Oryzias latipes: one gene and its partner. The protein of the gene in region 2 interacts with the protein of the main gene of each other region in a biochemical or structural test. Links are inferred from orthologs where the notes say so. Each region holds a gene or a part of one and is shown on either strand. Other genes may lie near its edges.

Region 1 (4,104 bases), on a different chromosome or scaffold from region 2:
CTTTATGAGCTTTAGAGGGAAGCGTCCATATTTTTTAAAAGAATCGAAACACATGCAGCTTACTAGCAAGTCCTTTAAAACTTCAAGAGGTCATTGAATTAGGTTGTGAAAAAGATCTGTTACTTAAAGTTCTGTAAACAACTTCCCTTATTTCACCACTAACAGCTAGAAACCAAAAGAAAACAATGGTTATAATAACAATAAACTGTAATTATAAACACAGCTTTTCTAATAAAAGCATAAGTTTAGGTACAATGTCGTTAAAACCTACAATGAGTCAAAAGGACCAAAAAGTAAGGCTGAGGAGTCTGGGGTCAGTAAGCTGTTGTTTTTATTAGTGCTTTCGTTTTTAAAATAATCACAGACATGACCTAATCTGTTTTACTTCATGCTATGCATGATTATGTGAAATATTATGAGGCCCACCGTTTCACCCCAGGCCATTCCCTCTTGTGTATCGTTTGTTCTCAATTGCTTGCACAGCAGGTTAAACCATAGTTGCTGACCAGATGTATCCTTTCCCTTTTGTACTTTCCCTAACAACTAAAACCTCAACTTTTGGTACAAAACCACAACAACAACAAAATGGATGCAACAAACCCCAAATTTTCTAGAGATGCAATTTGAGTTTTCTTAAAAATGAAGAGGTGTGATGCAAAAAGCAGCAAATTGATAATTTCATTAATAGGTGGTCATGTAAAGGGTCTTGAATTAACTCCAATACTACATTGTTTTTCATTTGTATACAAGTAATGGTACGAGAAGATCAGGCTCATTCATCTATACCAACTGTAAAGAACACGCAACAAATATATTTATAAAAAAAACAAATTTAAATGGAAATGACTGATTATGGAGTGATACTAAAGGGATTACAATTTCAGAGTCCACCAACAGTTTGACTAAAAACAGTGGATTATGAAACATCATGATCCACTTTTTTGAATGAATAAACCATCAGCATGCTAAACTAAATATTGCAGCTAAATGTTACAGTATCTCCACACACTTAACATTTGTAGTAAAAGGGTGTTTTATTTTAAGTCACAAAAAACAACAGCTTAACCCTAAATCTTTTAATTTTGAGAGACGAAAAAGCTAATTTTGCATTATTTTTGCTAAAATAAGAAAGAAAAAAAACACGTCTTCATTCTCCCCCCAAACCTTTAAGAACATATTGTCTATCACGCTTCCCATGCACTTAACAGAATAGTGCAGTTATTTATTCAGGAAAATGTTGGCAAGCCTAACATGAACTACACCTATGTGACATAACACTGACCTGCATAAAGATTGCCGCCACTTTGTTAACTTCTAATGACAGCAGCTGATAGCAGGACCACTCCCTCAACTTGCTAGTAACATTGATAAAACTAAATTTGCTCATGATTTTAAGCTCATCTATGAACATTTACTGACAACTTTGATTTATGATTATTTTTACAGCTTTGACTTCAATCTCAAAATCTAAATTTTGAAAAACGCGAATTTCATTTAGTGGTTAACTATTTTTTAACCTTTGTCACTCGCAGCATGGCTGAGCAAAGTACAAACACACCTTGTGTGTAAGGTTGAGGTTCTGGAATATGTTGACACTGAAGTTAAGCAGCTGGAAGGTTCAACTTGTTCTACTAATAAAAACAAACAAACAAAAAAACATTCAGCTCAGTTACATCTCGGGAAAAAAAAATCGTAATATTTTTGGCAATATTAAAACTAACTTGGCTAGTAAAGCTAGAACTAATATAAGATAATACATCCAGGCCACAATTTAAAACTTAACATTAAAAAAGTGAGAGCTCTGGTATTAGCTTGATTGAAACTTTTAATTTAATTCAAACTAACATCAAGTAGCAGAGCTGACACTGAACTCAACTTACTTTCAATTATTCCTCCTCTCTTGTGTTATCATGCAGTTGACGGTGCGCAGGCCCGTAAAGAAAAGGTTTCCATCCAGATAACTAAACTGTAGATAAGCCAACAACCGTTACCCAGTCAGACAAAATTGGATTTTGCCTGTCACACCTATTAAGTTAACAAGCTAAAGGTTGGCTAGCAACCTAATATTAATACACGTTATGCAACTCTTAACGTATGAACGCCTTTAAAGAAGCCAAATAGGTACAACACCATTCAGCAATTATACAGAATACTATGGTGTCGCCAAGTCTTTATGTGAGACAAAAGTTAAAAACAAAAAAAAAAACACGTAACTAAAAGTAGCTGTCATTTTATGGCTAACATTAGCTAGCTAGCATATGGCTAATCGAAACAGTTTGTCTAAGTAAAGTCTAGGTAAACTATTAACTTGGGTCCACAAGACGGGAGCAAAGAAGCGGGCTAACTAATGCAAACCAAATAGAAATCTTCACGTCATATCGCTGACCCTCAGCAGAGTGAACACGAAGGTAACGTTACCTGACAGTTTCCCATACCAAGAAATCACTTGCTGCTCCTTGAATGTAACTGTTAGCTAGCTAGCTTCTGATGCTAGTTCGTGAATGCCATCTGACTGCTTTGTTGTGCGGCATTTAAAACGCGTGTTCTGCTGCGGGGGAGTGTTGAAGACACTCATCAAAAAGTCATATGGGCAAAACTGTTGGAGATGCAAACAAAACAATAAATAAATACCTAAATGAAGTGTGTACTAACCCTGTTGCAGCTTGAATGTACGAGGAGATGGCCGAATTTCCGCTTCCGTGCTTCCTTACAGGAAAGACCGCACCCCCTGTAGCTGTGTTTTCATCATGCCATGCTGGTATAACTCATGATTAATTCATATACTTTTCACACCAGTCACAATTCAAAACAGCCCAGAAACAAACATAAAAATGCATTTTTTAAATTTTATTTTGTTGCACAAACCTTGTATTAAAAATCATGCCGCATTTGAAGCTGTTTAGTCAAAGGAAAGAAAAGTAAACACGAAGTCCTCCATTGATTAAATAAATGTTCTTCTTCTATTGTTTGTTTTGTGCACGTGTACGAGAGCCCTGCCTTCATTTAGGTCAACTAAGAAGAGTGAATATAGAGGAGTCAATTAGAGACAAAAATAGCTAACAAATAGCAGTGCCTATTTTTGCAAAATTTTAGAAGCATAATAACCTTGGTTATCCATCAAACAGAGAAACTGAAAGCAGAGTATAAAAATCAAGAACTAACAAGGACAAATGGTAACAGAAACATCAGTTGAAACTTTCACTTCCTTTATTATTTATTTGTCTGTGTGCATGTTAATTTCTTTTTTTCTTTCTTTCTTTTTATTTTTACATAATTGAAAAAATGAATTGATTTAAATATCTTTTAAATTGTAACAGAGTACACCTTAAATATATTGATTATTTTTACTATGTGAGTATTTTGTTTATTTTTAAAAATGCAATGAATGATTTTGTCCACAAAGAGGCACCATTGGACTACCGTATGTCTTGATTTAAACGAAGCCACAAAAAGCCTGTGGCCCGTTAGTGGAGCCATAAAAACCAAACAAGAAAACAGTGTTGAAAGTTTAGTTCAGGATTTTTTTTTAATCCCTTTATTTAGAAAAATTGCAATTTTGTCATAATTTACTAGGAGACTATTTTTTTCTTTTTTTTTTAACTCACCAACAAGATGGCACTATTTTTATTTGTTGTACAGAAAAGACAATGTTTAATTGTGACTTTCAATCATCCCATTTCATGCTCTCTATGTCACATTTTCATCTTATTCAAAATCTACTAGGAAACTGATGCAGAGGACAATTTGCATTCTAAATCCTATTAGTAACTAAATGCCACTAATTCTAGCTCTTGTTACTTGATTAAACCAGTGGATGATGTCACCATCCTGTTTGTTTCTTCTTTGTGCTCATTAAACTTGTTTTTTCTGTTATTATTCTTATAGCAGTTCTTGGTACTAGTTGTTTTTTTTGTGTTTATTTTATTACAATTATATTATAGGTTTTAAGGAGAATGCATCATGTGCCTTAAGGACAAAAAAAACAACAAAGTTTTTGTTAAAGAAGTGAAAAGCTTCAGCAAATTTGACAGTGTAACAGAAGATGTTCCTTATGCAACTTCCCAGTAAGTGTCAGGAAAGCTCTACTAGATCCCTCATCTGAGC
Region 2 (3,512 bases):
TGAGGGGATGGAGTGAATCTAAATCATCCCAGTTGACATTTTTTCCAACAGAAGAAGAAAAAAAATATATTAAAATAATCCCCTCCAGTGAAACCAGAGTTGATCAAACTGGAGAAATGTGTTGTTTTATTTTGCGGCGCAGCCTGCGTTGCATGACAACATTAAAGGCGTTCCACGTGAGCGTGAAAGAGCACGTACAAGCAGAATGACAGGCATGCAGCATGTGTTGGTAATGTGAGTGAGTGTGCCACAGGCGGATCTGCAACGTAAACAGCCCAGTCTCTGTCATTAGTTCAGCTTTGAGTGATGGCGGGGGGGACACACACACACGCCTGAGCTCGAAGCTTTTCACTAAGTCGAGGCGGTGAAAGAAAAGGTTTTTCTGTCATTTGCAAACGAGCCGACCTCAAATTCCCCCACAAACAGGAGCACACTTTTGTTGAGCCGCAGAATACTGTAGTTTGCTGTGACAGAGGTTCAGGTCGGGGCGCCTCCCCCCTCAGCGTTGGAACCTAGATGATCTAAAGTTACATCAGGCCTTAAGGGGTCAAACGTGCAACCTCTAAGGTCTGCAGGTCTGTTATTCCCATCCTGGTTTTCCAGAGAGGGCAAAGAATGAAGAAGCAAACCCAAACAAACACAGTCTTACAGGAAAATGTTCTGTTGATCCAAAAATCAAAGAGTCCCCCTACCTTAAGTTGCTGTTGCAGCTCACTGTTCAGGCGAGTCAGGACGGCGTTAGTCTCCCTGTTCTTACGGATCGCCATCTGGATCGTCCTCTTCTGCTTGGACTGCAGCCTGACAGAGCATCAGAAGAATCAGCAGATGAAACGTGCGTGCTCCTCCAAAGGATCGGCCAACAGAGGGCCGCCTTCGCTCCGGAGCCGCCGTGGTTATTGATGGTCCCTGTTTACTGCTCCGATAGTTTCAGCGAGCCGTCCGTCTGCTCCGAGAGGAGACGGACCCACACATGCTAGAGTCATTATGGTGAATTAGTGCGTGCCTTGATGTCGGCTGAATCCCCCTTTCTGTTCAGGTTTCATGGGTTTTTCAAGCTGACTCAAAGGTTCGCTAAACAATCCCCAAGACAGCATCAGAACGCCTCATTTTCCAAACTGCATCCGAACACGCACACATCCCAAAGAATCCAAAGAGCTGAACAAATGAACAACAGTGGTTTAGCTTTATTTATTATTTTTCTTTAAGTTGGACTCAAGAAGGATCTGGTTTGCTGCTTTCTGTCCAGAACGTGCAGCAAACGCAAACTAGAACCAACAGTTTTTTAAATGAGGGAACATTCACAGACTATAAAGACTCTTTCCAAATAGAACTCTGCAGCCATGAAAGGAATTTTTAAATGCTTCCATGTATTCAACAGTCAGTTATTCCTCAACTATCAAATGACAATAATGACATGTCAAAATGTTCCTGTAAAGTTTGTGAGCAGCACAATCTAGCCTTTAGCTTTTTTTTAACCTTTTCTTTTATGATAAAGTTATGGTTGTGTTTGTTTTTCATAGACATTTTATGGATTTGTTCTTTATTGGTCAAATAAATGCATCACTTTGGTGGCTTTTGTTTATGTAAAATAGTTCATGATGAATTGATAAACATAATGAAAGAAATCTGCATTACTTTGAATATGTAAAACTCTGCTAAATAATTAATGCATGAAATTATATGTTAAGTTATACATTTATAAAGTTATCCAATTAAGCATTTAAAGCAAGTTTTTAGATAGCTGATCTAAAAGCATAATTGTTTAACTAAAAGCAGATTGAACTGCCAATATGTGGAAATATGTTTAAATTTGCTAAAGGATTTCTTTTATAAAAGAAAGTCTTTCAGTTTCAAATTAAATGCAATAGTGATTACAAGCAAACCGACTGTTCTGGTTTTTGTTTTTTTGGATCAAGTTAAGCCATGTCTCTATTAGAGCTAGTTCTGTCCCTCATTCTTTGTTGTATGGGGTGTTTATTTTTATAAGAAAATCAAAAGGAGCTGAATAAAACACATTGTGTGATGAAAGATTGATTTTTTCACAGCAGGTTTAGGTTGGTCACATTTAAGTTTTTTCACATTTAAGTTTCCACTGTTCTGTTTCGGATTCAACCAAAGTCCTGCCTTTGATGACAAAAAAGCGCCAAGCGGAGGAGGAGAACGACCTCCCGCTTTAAATGGGACTGAACCAAGTCAAAAAACACCCAGATTTCATCGGACTGACCCGCTGTTGCAGCTTCAGCTACTGAAGACAGAATCAGCAAAGATTCAGGCTACAAGTGTTGGACTCACTTCTGAACCGGCTTGTCCTGGAGGGGGAACGGCACGGCAGGTGGGGGGATGCCCTCAGAGTCTTGGCTCTCTGCATGGTATTTCCTGCGAACTGGCTTTTGTGGTGCCTGGCTGTGACACGTCCCAGAAATGTCCTGAAAAAGACATCAAGAAGAAAAGCACAAAGAGAACCGGTGTTAGGTTCATTTAATGTTTGGTTAGTTTACCTTCAAATGGAGAAGATGCTGCTGGAGCCCAGAGATGCAGAACTGCCCTCATGCCCCTTATCCTTTCAACACTACTGCACCCCTTCACGCCATTCGCCACTAATTTGTGATGTACCACAAAATGCAGGACTTTCTCAGTTTGGAAGTGAACATTTCTAGAAGTCACCAAGTTTTTATCCAATTGGTAGATATTTTTCTTTAAAAAAAACAAAACTGCTTTTTTGAGTTTAAGAATTTTTGACACATTTCTTTTTTTAGAGAGAACCACTAGTGCTGGGTTGATAGAACCGATTAATTGATCTGAATTGATCCAAGATCAATAATCGATTCATAAAATAGAGATGACTCTTTCCTTTGACCTAACGCTACTCTCACAAGATTTTGTGATATTTGGCGAGATCAAGCTTTGAAATGATCATGGTGTACAACTGTAAACTGTTAGAAATTTTCCAAAATATTGACGGCAGGTTCATGTTCACTTTACTAATAGGCTCTGATACATGTACAGTGGCTGCATGTTCTCCCTGTGCATGCGTGGGTTTTCTCCAGGGACTCCGGCTTCCTCCCACCGTCCAAAAACATGCTTCATAGGTTAATTGGTGACTCTAAATTGTGCATTGGTGTGAATGTGAGTGTGTGTGATTGTGGCCCTGCGACAGACTGACGAGCTGTCCAGGATGTCCCCTGCCTTCACCCACAAGTGGCCAGGATAGGCTCCAGCAGCCCCATGACCACAAAAGGGACAAAACGGTTAAGAAGATGAATTTGTAGATGATTTCCCATAGGACGGCTAATGCTAACGCTCGTTCGACCTAAATATACACTGCAGACTAAATGAACAGCTTTGTAGACTCACAGGCATGAACTCTTTTACGGAAGCATTTTTTACAGTAACCGCTTGTGGTTTTTTGCTCAAATCTTCTGGGGTAGAGTACAATGCTGTAGCTACAGCGCCAGCTCCACCTAGTGGTCAAACTGAAACACCCTCCAGGAGAGGCAGAACATTTATTTAGA

Evidence for each region. The genes of interacting proteins can lie anywhere in the genome.
Region 1: the proteins of reps2 (region 2) and epsin-1 form a complex in vitro, tested with the Homo sapiens proteins (3 studies listed by BioGRID and IntAct, with this or other methods). The link is inferred for Oryzias latipes from reciprocal best matches to the Homo sapiens genes REPS2 and EPN1.

Annotation. Positions count from the first base shown.
Region 1 is NC_019874.2:19,874,784-19,878,887, forward strand, and holds the start of epsin-1, read right to left. Parts: upstream 2,806-4,104; 5' UTR 2,653-2,805; intron 2,646-2,652; exon of another isoform or gene 2,419-2,645; intron 1,967-2,418; 5' UTR 1,881-1,966; intron 1,632-1,880; exon of another isoform or gene 1,559-1,631; intron 1-1,558. UniProt on the Homo sapiens protein: Binds to membranes enriched in phosphatidylinositol 4,5-bisphosphate (PtdIns(4,5)P2). Modifies membrane curvature and facilitates the formation of clathrin-coated invaginations. Regulates receptor-mediated endocytosis.
Region 2 is NC_019862.2:28,744,840-28,748,351, reverse strand, and holds part of reps2 (ralBP1-associated Eps domain-containing protein 2), read right to left. Parts: intron 2,427-3,512; coding exon 2,293-2,426; intron 799-2,292; coding exon 693-798; intron 1-692. UniProt on the Homo sapiens protein: Involved in ligand-dependent receptor mediated endocytosis of the EGF and insulin receptors as part of the Ral signaling pathway. By controlling growth factor receptors endocytosis may regulate cell survival.